Linked DNA regions of Alligator mississippiensis. The protein of the gene in region 2 purifies or fractionates together with the protein of the main gene of each other region. This does not show direct contact. Links are inferred from orthologs where the notes say so. Each region holds a gene or a part of one and is shown on either strand. Other genes may lie near its edges. The genes, in order: OSTF1 and MYO1E.

Region 1 (8,369 bases), on a different chromosome or scaffold from region 2:
TCACATCACCATAACTGACACTAAAGTTGGGTTTTGCATGTAGATAAGAGGTTGAATCCCTATGTTGTTAACAGCATATATAGCTGCCCAAGCAGCTACACCAAAAATCTTGTGTGTAGGCTGCATTTTAGGCTTTGTCTTTAGTTGTTAAAACTGAAAGTTATAATGAATACGGTTACACTGTGACCGTGAGCTAGTTCTACATGAGCTAGCTTACTGTGGATAGACTGCTTCAGGTACCTGGGAAATCCAAGTTTGACTGGATTTCTCTACACTCCAGCAAAGCTTAGACATACAACATTGTCTGTTTTAAGTGCATAGTCTCTGAAGTGAAAAGAGGGTATGCATTCACTTGATCTTTTAATATAAGCAATACTTCTATACTTCTCAAGTGCACAGCCCTGTCACTACTGTGGTATTAGCAGCCCCAAAACTGACTAGTTCCTTTCATTTTCAAGGTTTGTACTAGCTGCACTTTGACAGTGGTTTCCTTTTTCATTGCTCTGGCGCAGCTGGTTACAATGTGGACAAATACAGTTAGTGGATAATTAATCAGACTATAATTAAGTTACAAAGTAGACAGTGAAAAATGGCTGCACAAGCAGTCTCTCCGTGCTATGCGGCAGGGCGGGAAAGAGAACAGGCCGCACAGGAACGGAGCAAAAAGCAGTGCAGCAGATTGGGCATGATAAAGGGATTGGAGGCTCAGGGATGATGAGGGACTAATTGGTAGTATGCCTGCCAGGAGTTTGGCCCCCATTGCTATATACTATGATTTATTTCACAGAAGCCCACAACGTCTCCCCCTCTGCACAAAAAAATAGGTACAAACTTTTATTGTTCTAAATGGGTATGTGCCCCTAACAACAACAACAACAAAAAAAAAGTAGCTGCTGCATCCACTGGCCTGCTCCTCCTTGCTTTGCCTCTTTTTTACACCCAGGCTAAACTATCCTTTAAAGAGCCTGGGAAACTGCCTCTCTGACACAGGGTAGTTCTTTCTACAGCTTTCGGATAAGGAAATGTTTTTCTTCAGACTCTACTGATGGAGCACTCTATTTTTAAAGTCTCTCTATCTAGCTATTGCTTTCAATTCTGTTAATTTTGTTGCACTAAATAAATGTTGAACTAATCCTCCATAGATGCAAGGGAAACTAGGGTCATGTACGGTGTTCAAAGGGGCAGGGAAGCCTGAGAGGTGCTGGGGAAGCTTCGGTGAGTGTGTGCATTTAAGCAACAAAACGTAAATAAAAAAAGATGTGGGAGGCATGGGGCACTTCTGGCTGGAGAGCTACAAGGGGGCATGGAGGAAAGAATGAAAGTAGAAAACCTGGAAATTTGTGAATAAAGCTTGCTTATACATAAAAATACTGCTATTGTTTGATATCAGAGGGCAAATCCAAGTATGTTTTGCATGCCCTATTTGTGCATCTCTATGCTTTAGCAGAGAGCACATTAAAAGACATGCTGCAAATGAATATTCATAAAATTAGTCCTTGCTTAGGTGTTTATGCTCAATTTTTGTAGCAACTGCAGGACTACCTCCTGATCCATCTTCCCACTGAGGTGAATGGGAGAAGTTTCCATTAGAATCATAGAAAATGAGGGTTGGAAGGGACCTCGGGCAGTCACCTAATCCAACCCCCTGCTCAAAGCAGAACCATCCCCATTCTCCATCTCCTAACACAAGAACAAGCGCATGTTGGACAAAAAAAAGGACAGAAAAGAATTTTAAAAGATCAAAAGAAATGCTCTGAAAAAGCAGAGAAGAGAGAACTCAGTGCAACTGGACCAGCAACTTTCCTGGCCTCAAAAAGAAGCCGTATAACACACTCAACAACCTGGTAGTTACTAGGAAAGACAGAAGCCTTATGCTTCATAGAATTATAGAGAAGTCGGGACTCCTAGAGATCATTGAGTCCAGGGGTGGGCAAAATACAGTGCGGGAGCATCCAGCTTGCCAGCCCATTCTATCTGGCCCGTGGGCCCCCTAGAAAATTTAATATACGTTTGCTCCTGGCTGCTTGTCAAAGATATCAAGGTCCAGGGGCAGTAGGACCCAGGGGAAGCCAGCAGTGGGATGCAGCAGCAAGACCCACCTAGCTCTACCCCCCCAACCAGAAGCCCCTGTCTAGCAGAGGCTTCTGGCCTGGGACTGTGGGGCTGTTCCTGCTTCCTTGTGCCGGAGAGAGAAATGGGGCCCTCAACATCTTGCCAAAACTGGGTAAGTAGCCCTCCACCTGAAATAAGGTGCCCGCCCCTGATCTAGCCCAACCCCCTGCCTGAGGCAGGATCATCCCTATCCAAACCTGTACAGTTCAACATCTAACTTCTGCATGACTTTCAACCTTGCCACAACACAGACCTAACCCCTTCACCTGCCACATGTAAAGCAGGGGAACCATTCACGCCACCACTGTTCCTTCAGTGTGCCTGCCCCACCTCCCTCCTACAGTAGCCTGTGGCCGGGTTAGGGCGGGGGGCGAGTGGCCAGACACGAAGCCAGCAACAGGGGGAGTGTTGGTGCCCCCTTGCTATGGCACTGGGTGCCTCATCGGTACGCCACTGTGTGCACAGCATGATTTTTTATTTTTTTATATAAATATATATATTTTGTTTGCAGCTTAGTGGGAACGCTGGCGCAACCTTCCTGCTTCTATAAAAATGCTTCCAATATATTCTCCTGGGTAACATTTTGTGTGGCGTGAGAGGATAGGTTAGGGAGCAGGCCTAGCTCTATCTGTGGGAGGGCAGCATTACGTAGGCATCAGAGTCCTAGACTCTGACTCCCGCAGCCTGGGCTGCATTGGTCCGTACTAGGCAGCTGCTGCCTCCATTTTCCCCACCTGTAAAATGGGGAGAAGGACATTGGCTGCTGCCTTCCAGGAAGCAGTAAGTCAAAGCCACTAGGCAGCCCCTCACTGGGCCAGGCCTCAGCATAGGGTGGTTTCTTGCACCTTCACCTCCAGCCTCTGAAGCGGGTGCAGGAGGGCTAGGTAGCAGCTCTTTTCTACTCCTGCCAGCTCCTGCCTTCTGCCCCTGCGTTTGCCACAGCCCCACCCCCACCCGGCTCTCGTTTCTGCAGGGCAAGGGTTAGTGGCTGCCTTAGCAGCGGCTCCCCGGTTTAACCCCAGTGTCATTCAGGTGGAGGCAGAGACTGGGGGGGTCAACCCGGAGCGGTCACGGCCGCCGGGATCCCCCTCCCGCGGGTGCCCACGTGTCATTGCGGCTCTGCCCTACCCCTACCTGGCTTGGCCGGTTTCGGCGGCGGCTTGGACATGGCTGCGACTCTGGCCGCCCCACCCGGCGGTGCTGCTAGCGCTGCGCGAAGGGGCGCGGGGCGCTGGGCTCCCTTTGGGCGGCAGCGACGAGGAAGTGCGAGGCTCGGCGACCCCGCGCGCGGGCTCCACCTGCAGGCGGCCGTGGGGCGCTGCAAGCGGGGACCGGGAAGCCAGGGAGGGAAGGCAGCAGCCAATCCCCGCCGGGGCGGAGGACGAACGTAGCCAATGGCTACAGGGTGGGCGGGGTCACGGAGGCCTCGCCCCCTTGCTCCTCTTCTCCCCCCTCCCTTCACCAGTGGGCGGGACCAGGTCTTACACGTCAGGGAGTGGGGGTGGGGCTGGGGCTCCGGCCGCAGTAGGGGGAGGGCAGTGTGGCGTAGTGTCTTAGTGGGGGTGGGATTCAATTGTGTGCGTCACAATGGAAATGGGGCGGGGGTGGAGCTCTGCAGCGCTGCGTTACAATCGGGGCGGTGGGTTCCTGACGCAGCGCGGGAGGGTGATTCCGTGCAAGGCTGCAGGCGGGCCCCGGGGACTGTGTGGGGCATCGCGGGGGAGGCCGCCTGGCGCCTGGTGGAGCTGCCCCGCGTTGAGCGGTGGGTGCTTGCCCACGCTGGGCGTGAGGGGCTGGCGGGTGGGCAGCAGGAGGGGAGGGGGGAGCTGAGCCTGTGTGCAGCGCTGTCCAGATCCGGGACCCTGGAACCTGATGGAAAGCTGCCGGCCTCCGCGGGAGGGTATCAGCCAGGGCGGCGTTTCCCAACCCGTGGGGCGCGACCTTCTTGGTGGTTAAGATCAAGTGTACTCGCTGCACTGGTGCGGTACCGGAGCTGAAATGGATTTAAATAAAGGGCATTGTGTGGCGGAGGGGGCACCCTTGTCCAAATGCACTGTGGACAGGACACCTTGTAATTGGCTTCCAACTGGCCAGTTTCCAGCAGGACGACCTCGGCTATGCACCTACTTTATGGAATTGGGGCACCTCTCCCTAGCTTTCTAATGCATGCAAGCGAGGCTTGGGGGGGCATCTGAACCCCAAGCCTCTGGGCTTGGGTCTGCACATAGGTCGCCTACCAATGGATTTGGATTTGGATTTGGAAGTATCTGAAGCCCTAGGCTGTGAAGTCGGGTGGAGGATAAATGCTGGTTGCTGTGCCACATATGGTGTTTAAACTATGAGTTTTGCTCAGTCAAAAGGAGTCAGAACTGATCTGGCCTAGAACATTAAAAATCTTCCACAAAAAAATTAAAAAGTGGGTTGCAAGAATATATGAAATGGTCGCAAGCCGACTTTAAAAATGGGTTCTCCTTTAAAGGAGAAAAACCTAGGAAACTCTGGGTTTTCCCCTTGGAGGCTGGCAGAGTTCCAGCGTGCAAGGGGCTGCTTGGGGCTTCCCACAACCTACAAACCACCCCGCCTCCTGCCCCACATGAGGGGGCGGCAGGTCCAGAGTGAGGGGCACTGGGTCAGGACTGGACATTGATTTTTACAAATGGGTCCTGGTACAAAAAAAGTTGAGACCCACTGATCCAGGTGGCCTGGCCCTTGGACCCTATGGCACTTTTGGGATGTTAGGTGGGGAACACCTAGAAGGTGCCGTGAGCTGTCTCCTGTTGAGAGTTAACGTCATTTGTTGCCTGTGCAGCTAGGATATGCCACCAGAGGGCAGGCGAGCAGGGGTGTGGCTAAGAGCCAGGCCACCTGGGCTTTGTCCCTTGCTGGCGGTAGGGAGCAGTGCATTCTGGGATGTTGGAGGACTGCAAAATTGCTCATTTTATCTCTGTGGATCAGATGGGAGTTACCCTGACACAATCTAGGTAGCACAGCCCAGGGTTAATCCTCTTCTGAAGTGGTGTAACATTGAGGGCACTAACAAGCTTTAATGCGCAGAGGCTTTAAGTGCCTTTAGTACTGTTGAAGTGTAACATGTCGTGTAACTGTACCCACAGGGCTGGCTGTGGTTAGCATTGTCTGTCTTGTTCTTGGGGTCATGCAAGACTCACAACTTGTGGTAAGCTGGCTCTGAGCATACCTTTAAATGTCAGTGTCTTCACTGGCCTGTTGCCTTTTACCGGTCTCCAGTTGTGCGTGTGTATATGTGTGTAAGAAGAATTGCCTATGTGAAGACCCTTATAACTAAATTTACTTTAGAATTTGTATAGCAAGCATTTAAAACCCCAGGACCCCTGGTACTGGAGGTACTTTATTTAGATGTGCAGCACTTGAGTAGATGCCAAATAGGTCCATGATCCTGAAAAATGCCATGCATGGATATACCCCTGCATGGGGTTAATTGAGTTTAGTAATGCAATCACATGGGTCCACCCTGTGCATCAGAGTGCAGGAGCGCTGCCTAACATTGTCCAAAAGGGGGTGTATTTTTATTTAGTTGGTCATATGGCTGTGTTTTGTCTTCAGGCCATTTGAAGAAGCATGGCACAGTTTATTCTGTATCTAGACCAAGCACTTTTGTGTTGTGGTGTGTCCAAAATTATCACTATCCTATTGGAAAAAAATAGAAAATACTGTAAAGACTTTTTGCTTTCAAAGATGAACCAAAAAATATATTACCCTTCCCAACACCTGGCACCCCACTTCAAAATTCATCCCCAAATCTTAGATCTATAATTAAATTTAAATATTTTAAAATTATTTTTAAGTTTGTTTTCAGTGTGTGCTTGTAATTTAGCATGTAAAAATGTTCTAATGCAAAGCGTTTCAGAATTTGACTCCAGTGAGATGTGGTTGATGTGGTCTGCACTGTAGCACAAGTATCAAACTTACTGTTTCAGGCCACAGCATCTGATTGCATTACTGCTGCCATCTACACATGCGAAAGCATCTTAGAGTGATTGTTTTATTAAACTAGTTTGGTCTACTCTGTGTAGAGATAATGTGATCTGGCCATAACTATGTTGTAGAATTATTACTAGATCATGTGCAGACTTGAGCTCTACATACCTGTTACAGGTCTATAATATGACTATAAACAAGTTTTGGTCTTACTTACACAAGCCAACCTGAGCCTTGTTATACTGAAATTCTATGGTGTAATACTGCCATCCACCCATGTGGCTCCACAAGCTGTTTGTTTCTTCTTTTTGTTTATTCTGGAATTTTTCTTAAGCTACGATTACACTGGAGATGGACAGTGACGTAAATTAGAGAGTTCAAAACCCTTCACAGTATGTATCAGTGTTACCTAATTTGTCGGTTAATGCTTTTTTGTGCAACAAAGGTTAATTCTTTAGAACAAAGTCCAGAACTCATATTTATTTGAAAATATTTGCATTTGGATAGGCCAGACAACCACCATGTACATCTGTCTGCCTCCTCTTAAAGCAATGTTGCCTTTTCTCTCAATTGAAAATATTAATCCTTTAAACATTTATAATGCTGTCTGAGATTCTTAAAGGTCTTAGCAAACATAGATGTATTTATTTTCAGAAATGTTGAACTCCAATTACAAAGTTAATAGGTACTGTCTCAGCTCAGTGTCAGTCTCCAGATCTTGAAATGAGTAGATAGGATTTTATTTTACCAATCGGGAGAACTGGGGAACAGAAAAGTGACGTGTCTGATACTACAAAATAAGTCTGTGGGGAGAAATGAGGAACTCAGTCTTTTTACCTATATAAAACAAGACAGTAACCCATTTCTCTGCTCTTGTAATTTACTTCTAAGGGCTTGATCTTACAAAAACTTATTGAGCTAAGCAGCAGGAAGGAGTTGTAGGTCTGAGTCTTATAGGACTATAAATAAGTAAAAGGAAAAAAGGTTGTCAAAAACGGTATATATGATGTAATGCACTGTAATTTGATTTTTTTTTTTTTTCAGTTAAGACATTGGAAGTTCTGAAGATGTGTGTGTAGCAGTGGTAGAGTTTAAAAAGATAAAAGGGCCTTTTACATTAATTGCTTTTTCCCCTTGTAGCAATTGCTTTTATCATTGCCAAAGTAGGTGTGTTCACTGACTGTTCTTGTTTTAGACGGTTGGAAGAAAGGAAGTGGATAGAATACTAATTATGAAACTGGTTGTTGGCCTTGGAGGGTAAGTACAAAAAGTTTAAATTCTAAAGCAAAAATGTGAGATTTCTTCAAGCTTCGAGATGAAGTCTACAAGTGCCTGTCTGTATATGAATATGTTGTTATCAGAGAAGGAATTAAAAGTATGATCTTAACACTTGTCACTAGTATTGCATGCAATTTTTTTGCATCTTGTCCCTACCTCCATCATAAATCAACCCTTTGGGACATCAGCTCTGATCTTCCCTATGCCATTCTCTTGCACATTGGTTGAAAGCTGTCAGAATATCCAGACAAATGACTGGGAGCCATGCAGGCATGATCAGCATTGTGAATAAAATTACGTTTTGGCAGTGGCTTTATTTTTGATGCATGCTTTGTTCCTGATTTTTTTTTTCTGTCCTGACATAGCCTTTATTCTGTTCTTTAACTCAGTGTGACAAATGGGGGGAAAACAACACTGGCAGAAAAGCTTAAGAAACTGCTTCCAAATTGCAGTATAATCTACCAAGATGACTTCTTTAAGGTAACAGCATATACAGAAAGACTTTGTGCATAAAAATAGACTTGAAAATGTAGTTGCTGCAAAACTATTAATAGGATTTGTAAGTTAGAGTGGTAAATCAACTGCACTGTAATACTGCTGGGATGCTTCAGTTGCCAGAATCGATTTGCTGTGTGACCAAGAGAGAAACAATCTGACTGTATTCTTTGGTCTGTTTCAAGATCAGGAATAGGAATAGAGTATATGAATTTTTTAAACTGCTTCCTGGTAATTCGGTTCTGTTTGGGGTTTTTTTGCATTTATGCGTAACTTTAGATAGAAAACAATTACAAACAAAAATGGCATCCAGGAATGAAGTTACACATTACCCTTAGATCATACTAAGGTCTAAAATGCTATGTTTAAAACTCATGCTAAATGCCCTCCTGTCAAACTTCCACCGCTTCTGGTGAGTGTTACTTTGGGCTGTGCTACCTAGCCAGTGTTGGGGTAACTTCAGTCTGCTCCATGGAGATAAAGCCAGCAATTTGTAGTCCTCCGACAACCCAGGATGCACTACTTCC
Region 2 (7,814 bases):
AAGGGTTATTTTATCTCCCAATCTCCTTCAGTTGGTCATGTATTGAAGGGTTTGAGGGGTTTTTTGGCCTGCCTCTGAAACATCTGTAATGGGTCAAAGCTGGAGATGGGACATCAGATGGAATGGTGCAATGCTCTGATGTGGTTCAGAGAATCCGCTTCCTAGATGCCCAATGATGCATCTTGCTCACATACTGAGGATCATTGTCAGTTATGGATCTTGCATGTTTTTTTGCTTTCCCTGGTTGGAATGGAGCTCCTCCCAATTCACCTATTGGGATCATAGGGGCATATTTACCATATCAGTTCCCTGCCCCTGCAAGGGCCTTGAGCATGGGTGGCATTTCCATTTCTCCTGCCCTTTCCCTGTGTGAGTTTAATCCCCCCAAGGACTGAAATGCTTTTGTCTCTTTTTTTGTGCTTAATATAGGGGTAACTGAATGAAATGTAATAGTCTGTGATAGAGGTCAGTTTACCTGACCTAATAGCTTATTCTAGCCTTAAACTCCATAAAGTTATGAAGAATAATATATGTTAAAAGTACAAGTAACACACTCTTTCAAATTGTCAGATCCTCTAATTGAAATAAACTTTCACTACAAAGTTTTAATTAATCTGTAAAAGTTTGTTTGAAATATTTAACATGTTCAGCTGTTGTAAACTTTAATTTTTCAATGTAAGACATCTAAACTCTATGAAACCCTTCCTGTGTTATATAAAATGTCAAGGCTCTGTCATCAAAATTAATAAAGCTACTAAAATAATATTCAAAAAATTAACTCTAACAAAGAAAGCATTAATAGCTACTGAAAATGAAAGACACAATAATGATAACATATTTCTTACAAAAGTAACATAATGTTCAAAGTTATGGTTAAAACCCGTACTCTGATGAAAAGAGCTTTCACAAATCCTTATGAAAACATGTCTCCAACTATTATGAGACAAGTAGTGTAAGCTTCATATTATGCTGTTCCAGAACATATTTACTTACACTAAATCAATACTAAGTGAACTGCAGGTGGCTACTAGAAGCTGAATAACTTATTCAATTCAGTACTATAGTAAAGACTTGCATTGGGCATCTCTGCTGCTTTCTGGCCACATAGCTTCTTAAAAAGCTCATGAATTCATGTAGTATAAAACAGGACAATAGTAAATTAAGACTTCTAGAATAAACTCAAGTTTTAACAGGCGCATGCTCAGATTCATAACTGATACATTTTTTCAAACTGAATTTCACAGGCAAGCTTTTTGCAATTAGCTAATTTGGGGGGGGGGGCCATGAGATTTGGTCCATTCTATCAGGATTTCTTTTTTTCATTTCAGTCCTCAACTACTGTGTCATGTTAGGTGGTTGAAATTATTATGAAAGATGTTATTATAATTCATGGCAAGAACACACACCCCCCTTCCATAATTAATGCCTGCCACTCAGTGTGGTTCAATATAGTAAAAAAGTATACCACATAAAACAAAACAGTTTAAATCTTTTAGGGGTTTTTTTGTAAAAATATGTCTATAAATATACACACACACACACCATCTATCATCCCCTTCTTCAAAACCTTTAACCCATTTTCAAAACCTTACACCCATAACAAAACCTCGCAGATCCACTCCAATGCCGCTCAGAGCTGGATTAGTGATGATGGTGCATCTCCTTAGTCCAGTGGCTGTCAACCCTGTTAGCTTGAGCCCTGCTTGTAAAATGTCAGCTCTTAGGTTCTCACTTGATTTGACAACAGAAAAAAATGGAGCAATTCGTCTTGCTATGTTCTAAAAGCCTTGATCACAGTGATATGAAAATAAATTTAAATGGAGAGAGAAAGGCATGATATGATGCAACTGTGACTACCACCAAGACAGCCTATGCTGCAAGAAGCATCATCATTCCTTGTAAAAAGGTCGTAAGGAGTCAGACTACATACAGTTTCGGATGCAGTGATGTCAGGCACACTTTACAGAATCAGTGGTGTGCTTAACTACTGTGTTGGATCAAGACCATGTTCAGCACCTTGCAGGATGGAGCCCGACGTGAACATTCAAGAAATACAATATTCCTTTCAGTAGGACTAACTGGGACTACAGAGTCCTGTTTCAGGAGCCCTGCGATCAGCCTCTGTACAACGCTGCGCACAGTGAGAGAACCAAAACAAGAACAGCAATGCTAATTGGAGGGAAATGTGACTAACTCCATCCATTCTGCTTGAGTAAAGCTAGTCCGAAGGGAAGTCCCAGCTCTGTTACAACAATTCCATGCAACTTAGGAGCCTCATAAGGACTTAAGTTTCTTAATAAAAAGAGTCTAAGTCATCATAAAACATCCATGTTGGCTATGGAGTTGTTTTCCCCACACTTGTTACAAAATTGAAAAAGTACTGTAATGTTGTAAACATGTAGAGAAGTCTAGTCTCCTTCCTCAGGAACCACAGTACTTCTTGCCACTTTTATGAGGGGACAGCTGTGCACTGGGCTGCACTCACTGCTAGGGTCCGTGCAATCACAGGAAGGATGAACTGGCCCGCTGTGTTTCTAATCTGGAAGCCCCAGCTTTCACAGATCCTTAAACCCGTCAGGTAAAGAGGGTCACCGCTATATCTCCTCTGCGCTGTACATTACACTGTACATTGTGTTTGCACGTTCCTCTCCAGTCAGGCTGGAGGGATGCAAAATAGGACCTTTGGGGAAAGTTCAGACTTTTCATTAAAACCAACCAACCAACACACACATACATAGACACACACCCCAAAAACACCCAAGGACAGAAAAGAGTTTGGCCCCAAAATCATAAATCTGGGAAGCCATAAACCCCAAAAGTGTGTGTGTGGGGGGGGGAGAAGGGGGGTGTCTAAATCTGCAGATGCCTCCTCAGCCTGACGAAGGGTGTTTTGTGCCCAAAAGCTTGCAAAAAAAATGTGCAACTATTTGAGTTGGTCTCATAAAAGACACCGGCTTTACCCAAAGAACCTCGCCTGCGGATGTCTACGTGTGGGACACCCCCGAAGACGCGCGCGCGGGCGGGCGCCACGATGCAGACACGCGGGCTCGCGCCCCTCAGCCAGACCCTCTCGCGGGGGAGCGGCGGAGCCCGGGCTTGGGCGCCCGCTTCTCCACGAGTCGTTGCGTGGCTGAGGGCAACTGTGCCCAGATACACACACGAGACACACACCCCGCCACACACTTCTCCAGGATTCACACACGCACACGCACGGCTACGGGAGCTGCTGCGTGGCCGAGGCGGCGGCCCCTCCCGGCGGCCCCGAGCCAGGCGGCAGCACAGCGCGGGCTTCTGCTCTGGGGCTGTGCCCGCTGGCTCGGCGCGACGCGGCGCGGACCGGCTCGGCCCTGCCCCTGCCCCTGCCCCTGCCCCCGGCCCGGCCGGCGGGCTGCCCCGAGCCCCCAGGGGACGCTGTCAGCCGGCGGCCCCGGGACACTTACCATGGCTGCGGCGGCGGCGGCGGCTGGGCGCGGGGGTCGCCTGGTCGGCGGGCGCGAGGCGCAGGGCAGCGGAGCCGGCTCAGCGGCGCGGCGCGGGCCCCATGCGGGCAGCGGCGGTGGCGCTGTTGGCGGCGGGAGCAGGGGCGGGAACGGGCTGCGCCGGCCGCTCCCCGCACACCTCGGCGACCCGCGCACGGGGCGATGTGTCCATAAATGGAGATCGGGCCGGCCGAGGGGCGGGCGGGCGCGGCGGCGTCATTCCTCAGGGAGCTCCTGGCAGCGGGAGCGGCTCCCGGGGCCGCTGGGCCTTGTAGTCCCGGCCCGGCCCGGCCCGGCCCGGCCCCGCGCTGCTCCCCCGGGCGGCACCGGGCTGCCAGGTGCCCCCGGGGGCTGCAGCCGCCCCCGCCCGCGGAGGCCGCCCGGGAGGCAGGTCCCTGCGCGCAGCCCTGGCCCCGGGCGGGCGGGCGAGTCCCCGCGCGCTCCCTGGGGCTGGGGCTGGGGCTGGGGCAGGTCTGGAGCACGGGCCCGGCCCGGGAAGTTGTGGGTCGCGCTGGGGAGAGGGGGTTGCAGGCTGGGCTCGGAGGGGAATAGGGAAGGAGGGCTGGAGGGCACCTCCCGGGGTCATCTCGTGTCCAGCCCCCCTCAGAGCACGGCCAGCTCCAGCTAGACCATCTCCTTCCCTCCTCCGCCCTCTGGGCCAAAGACGCAAACAGAGGTGGCAGCGCCACTGGGGTGGGTTGGCAGCCAGCTCCTCCCAGCTCTTCATGTCACCATCACTGCGTCCCCCCGAGGCCTGCCTGCAGCCTGACCTCCTAGGTGTCTAAGATGAAAGGAGACCGGGGCATCTGAACCCCGAGGCCTCGGGGCCTGGGGCTGGCAGCACACCTGCCTGGATCTGGGGAGAAGCCAAGCCCCAGAGGGATGGGGCTGGGAGGGAGGACGCTCGCCCCGCCAAAGCCATCCAAACTTGAGGATTGAGCTCTGCTCACTTGAGTTTTGAAACTTGACTCGTAGGATTTGCCCAATTGCATTTTGAACTGATTTGACCTTGATAAAGCTTATTTTTTTCAATAGCTTCCTCTGGCCACAGCGAGATGTCAGGCCAGAGCTACCTGCATATCTCTATTATTATGTACCGGTGAGAGAAGTGGGAATGCTTTTTGCTTATTTTGACTGTGCTAACATGCTTTTAACAAACAGAAGTGCAGCTCCCAGCTGTAACTCGTGCAATGCAGGGTCAGATTTTCACCAGATTGGCCATTTTTTAAGCTGTCTGTAGCCATGCGCTTGTTTGGTCACAGCTATAAACTGCTTTCTGTCGACAGATCTGGTGAAAATTGTCACTTCTGTCTGCACCCAAAGAGACCAGGGGAGTTGGGTGTGTGCACACTGGCCCTGCCTCCTAAAATGGTAACATTTATAAAGAGCAGCAAAGATTTCTAAGGGTGATCTCTTTAACTGGAGTAGCTATGTTATTGGGATAAAGTGAGACAAGCTTTCCAGTACAAGGCATTCTTAGAAAAGAACCTCTTGCACTGGAAAGCTTGTCTCACTTTATCCCAGTGACATAGTTCAGGGGTTCCCAATCCCCGGGCTGTGGTCGCGAAGGGTCAGCTGCTGATCCGCAGGACGGATGGCTGCTGGACCAGAAGTGACTGCGGACCGGCAAACCGCAGCCCCGCAGAGCCAGGCAGAGAGGCCGCGACTCCTCCCGCAGGGCCCATGGCAACCATGGTTGACATTTGGCCTGCCTCCCCACCCGGCAGGTGGAAGTATTTTTACCTGTGTTCCAGCTGGAAATTTCAGCTGCAGGGCTCTGTGTGGTGGTCCACAGATTGCTGGTCCACGGCCACTTCCGGTCCACAGTTTGCCGGGCCGCAGCACAAAAAGGTTGGGAACCCCTGACATAGTTGGCCCAATTAAGAGAGATCACCCTAAGAAATCCTTGTCTCTGGTGCAATTTCTGGACCATCACAGCCAAAATAGCACTCCTACACTGCTGTAACAAAAGTTTGTAAGAGCACTGATGCTATAAGAGAAAATTGGGTAAAGGTTGCTGAGGGGTCGGTGCTCACAATGATTTGTGTGAATGTCTAAGGTGGAGGGACCCTCTGCTCATGCCTCAGAGGAAGGAGACGTTCTGGATAGGAGTTTCTTTTTTTGTGGGGTGGGGGTGGGAGGAGGGGTTGCCAGGGATGCCATTGCATTTAGCAATGTAGCTGGACAGGGAAAAACCCTGGTGATGTTTAAATATGTTTAATGGGTTTATGGTGGGACCTGTTCTCTGTTTGTTTTCTGAAGTGCTAAGACTACTGGTGGAGCAGGTTGAAGCTTGTCCCTGCTATGCGACACCCCCCTCCTATATGCAGCAGAGGAGCAGTGCCCCCCAGCAGTGGTGAAGCAAGGGAGAGCTTGTGTTAGCCACTGCACTAGCTCTACTGCCTACCAAGTTCACTCTGTGTACACTAAATATATTGACGGCTAAACTGTTAATAGTTGATTGAGGCGGGCTACTGATTACTGAGAGTTTTCCAAGTCTGTCTGTTGTCCCATTTTCCTTCCCCCTTCAATAAACCCTGTCATCATTTAATATTGCTTGCAAGTGGGGAAGTTTGTTCATTTTGAACACCCAGGCAGAATATATTTACTCAGGTTTCTGGGGTGGGGGGGTACTCCAGGCAAAATTTACTGTCCCAGGTTTCTGGGTGGGGGCTCAAGCCAAGATAATACATTTGTGTAAAACCTTAATTGAACTTGGTCCTTGTTACTGCTGTCTCATGCCTGGCAGAAAGCTTACATAAGAGTTGAGAAGAGGATGAAGCACCTTGAAATCAGAATTGAGTGAAAGTTTTTGGTCAAATATTTCACTGGCCTGAAAAGGCACATCTGGGTTGACCAAAGCCATTTCTAAAGTTGTGTCAGTTCATTCAATATTTTTGGTGGGGAAAAAAAAGGGGGGGGGTAGCCTTTGAAAAACGTTAATGTTTCATTTTGATATTTTAGAAGTAAAACATGTTGATACTTCATTTGAAAATGTTGTTTCATTTCAAAATTGCCTGAATTACATTTAACAAGTTTAAAAAACAAACCATTTTGTTTTGGTTTAACTGAAACATTTTGTTCAAACCAAACTTTTAATTCTTTTTTTTTAATATATTTGTTTTGCAAGAAAACTTAAGAGTCTTCATTTCAAGTCAACTCAAAACAATTTTCTTTATTGCTTTGGTTTGGCCAGAAAAAAACGCTGTTAGTCACTGTTCTCCTTAAAATAATACAATGCTTGTGTCCCGTTAGCCATTAATGCACAGTCTCTATCCCCAAAAATCCACAGTCAAAGGTCCTCATCCTGTGGGTATTTCTGCAGGTAGTGCTTTTGGCATAGGAGTCCCAGTAACATGTTGAATGGGATTTCACGTGCAGCTTCTAAATCAGAATGTAAATAATGAAATAAATAGTATTCTAACAATTAGTTAGCTGTATAGTCATGTAACGCATTCCTTCCAAACCATTTTGAAAAGGCAGTGCCCACTGCTATTACTCATTTCAAACAATTTAGTATTTTTCAAATTAACCTCTGACTGTTAAGAATAGTGGGTAACAATGGTTAATAGGAAAAACAGAAACAGGCAATGGTCAATAGAAATACAGAGCTTCCACCAGATACTCCTTATTAAATAAAATTAAGTTCCACAATCATTTAGATATTAGCCATAATGGAATAATTTATCCAAGGCCAACTTCACAAATATTTGGTTGGCTAGATGAAGTAGGACTCTAGTCTGAGCTATTCCTGGTGTCTGGTGTGTGTTCTGATTTTGCAATTGGTTCCATGGGGTAGACAAAAGTCAGCAAAGTTCCCTATAGGTAAACAAATGTACTTTAATGGATCAGATTGCAGGATCGACATCTTGGCTTGCAAAGCAGGTCTGAACCACCCCTGGTTTGCAAACATAAAACCTGACTGATGAGGTGTTGCAAAATCCAGACCACCCTGGTTTGTTCATTATAGAAATGTGACAAAACTTAAACTGTATTTATCTGGCTTCTCCTTTAGTCCCACAAATGTTGGTGGTTTGGATAAAGTAGAATAGCTCCCTTGAATTAGATCCATGCTTGGTTTTGAAAAATCAGACCGTCATTTCCTCAACTCAGCTCTACTTACATTACTGACCAAATTAAACTTGTGTATTGGATGCCTGGCCATCATTTGACATTAGCACTGGGGGGAAAAATAGTTTAACTGAAAAAATGGTTGGATGGTAAATATGATCTCAAACTACTATTAATATAAAAGGTATATCTGACAGAGTTATAAGTGACCAAGAATTTATAGGAATTGAGCTTCACACTTCAGTTTTGAGTAGAACAGTAGCA

Evidence for each region.
Region 1: the proteins of MYO1E (region 2) and OSTF1 purify together in Homo sapiens (co-immunoprecipitation; 3 studies listed by BioGRID and IntAct, counting the BioPlex papers as one, with this or other methods). This does not show direct contact. The link is inferred for Alligator mississippiensis from reciprocal best matches to the Homo sapiens genes MYO1E and OSTF1.

What each region holds. Positions count from the first base shown.
Region 1 is NC_081826.1:197,732,179-197,740,547, reverse strand, and holds the start of OSTF1 (osteoclast-stimulating factor 1), read right to left. Parts: upstream 3,406-8,369; 5' UTR 3,281-3,405; coding exon 3,247-3,280; intron 1-3,246. Other genes in the region: NMRK1 (nicotinamide riboside kinase 1), read left to right, coding at 5,267-5,287, 7,265-7,326, 7,737-7,827.
Region 2 is NC_081834.1:38,485,126-38,492,939, reverse strand, and holds the start of MYO1E (unconventional myosin-Ie), read right to left. Parts: upstream 3,696-7,814; 5' UTR 3,444-3,695; coding exon 3,441-3,443; intron 1-3,440. UniProt on the Homo sapiens protein: Actin-based motor molecule with ATPase activity. Unconventional myosins serve in intracellular movements. Their highly divergent tails bind to membranous compartments, which are then moved relative to actin filaments.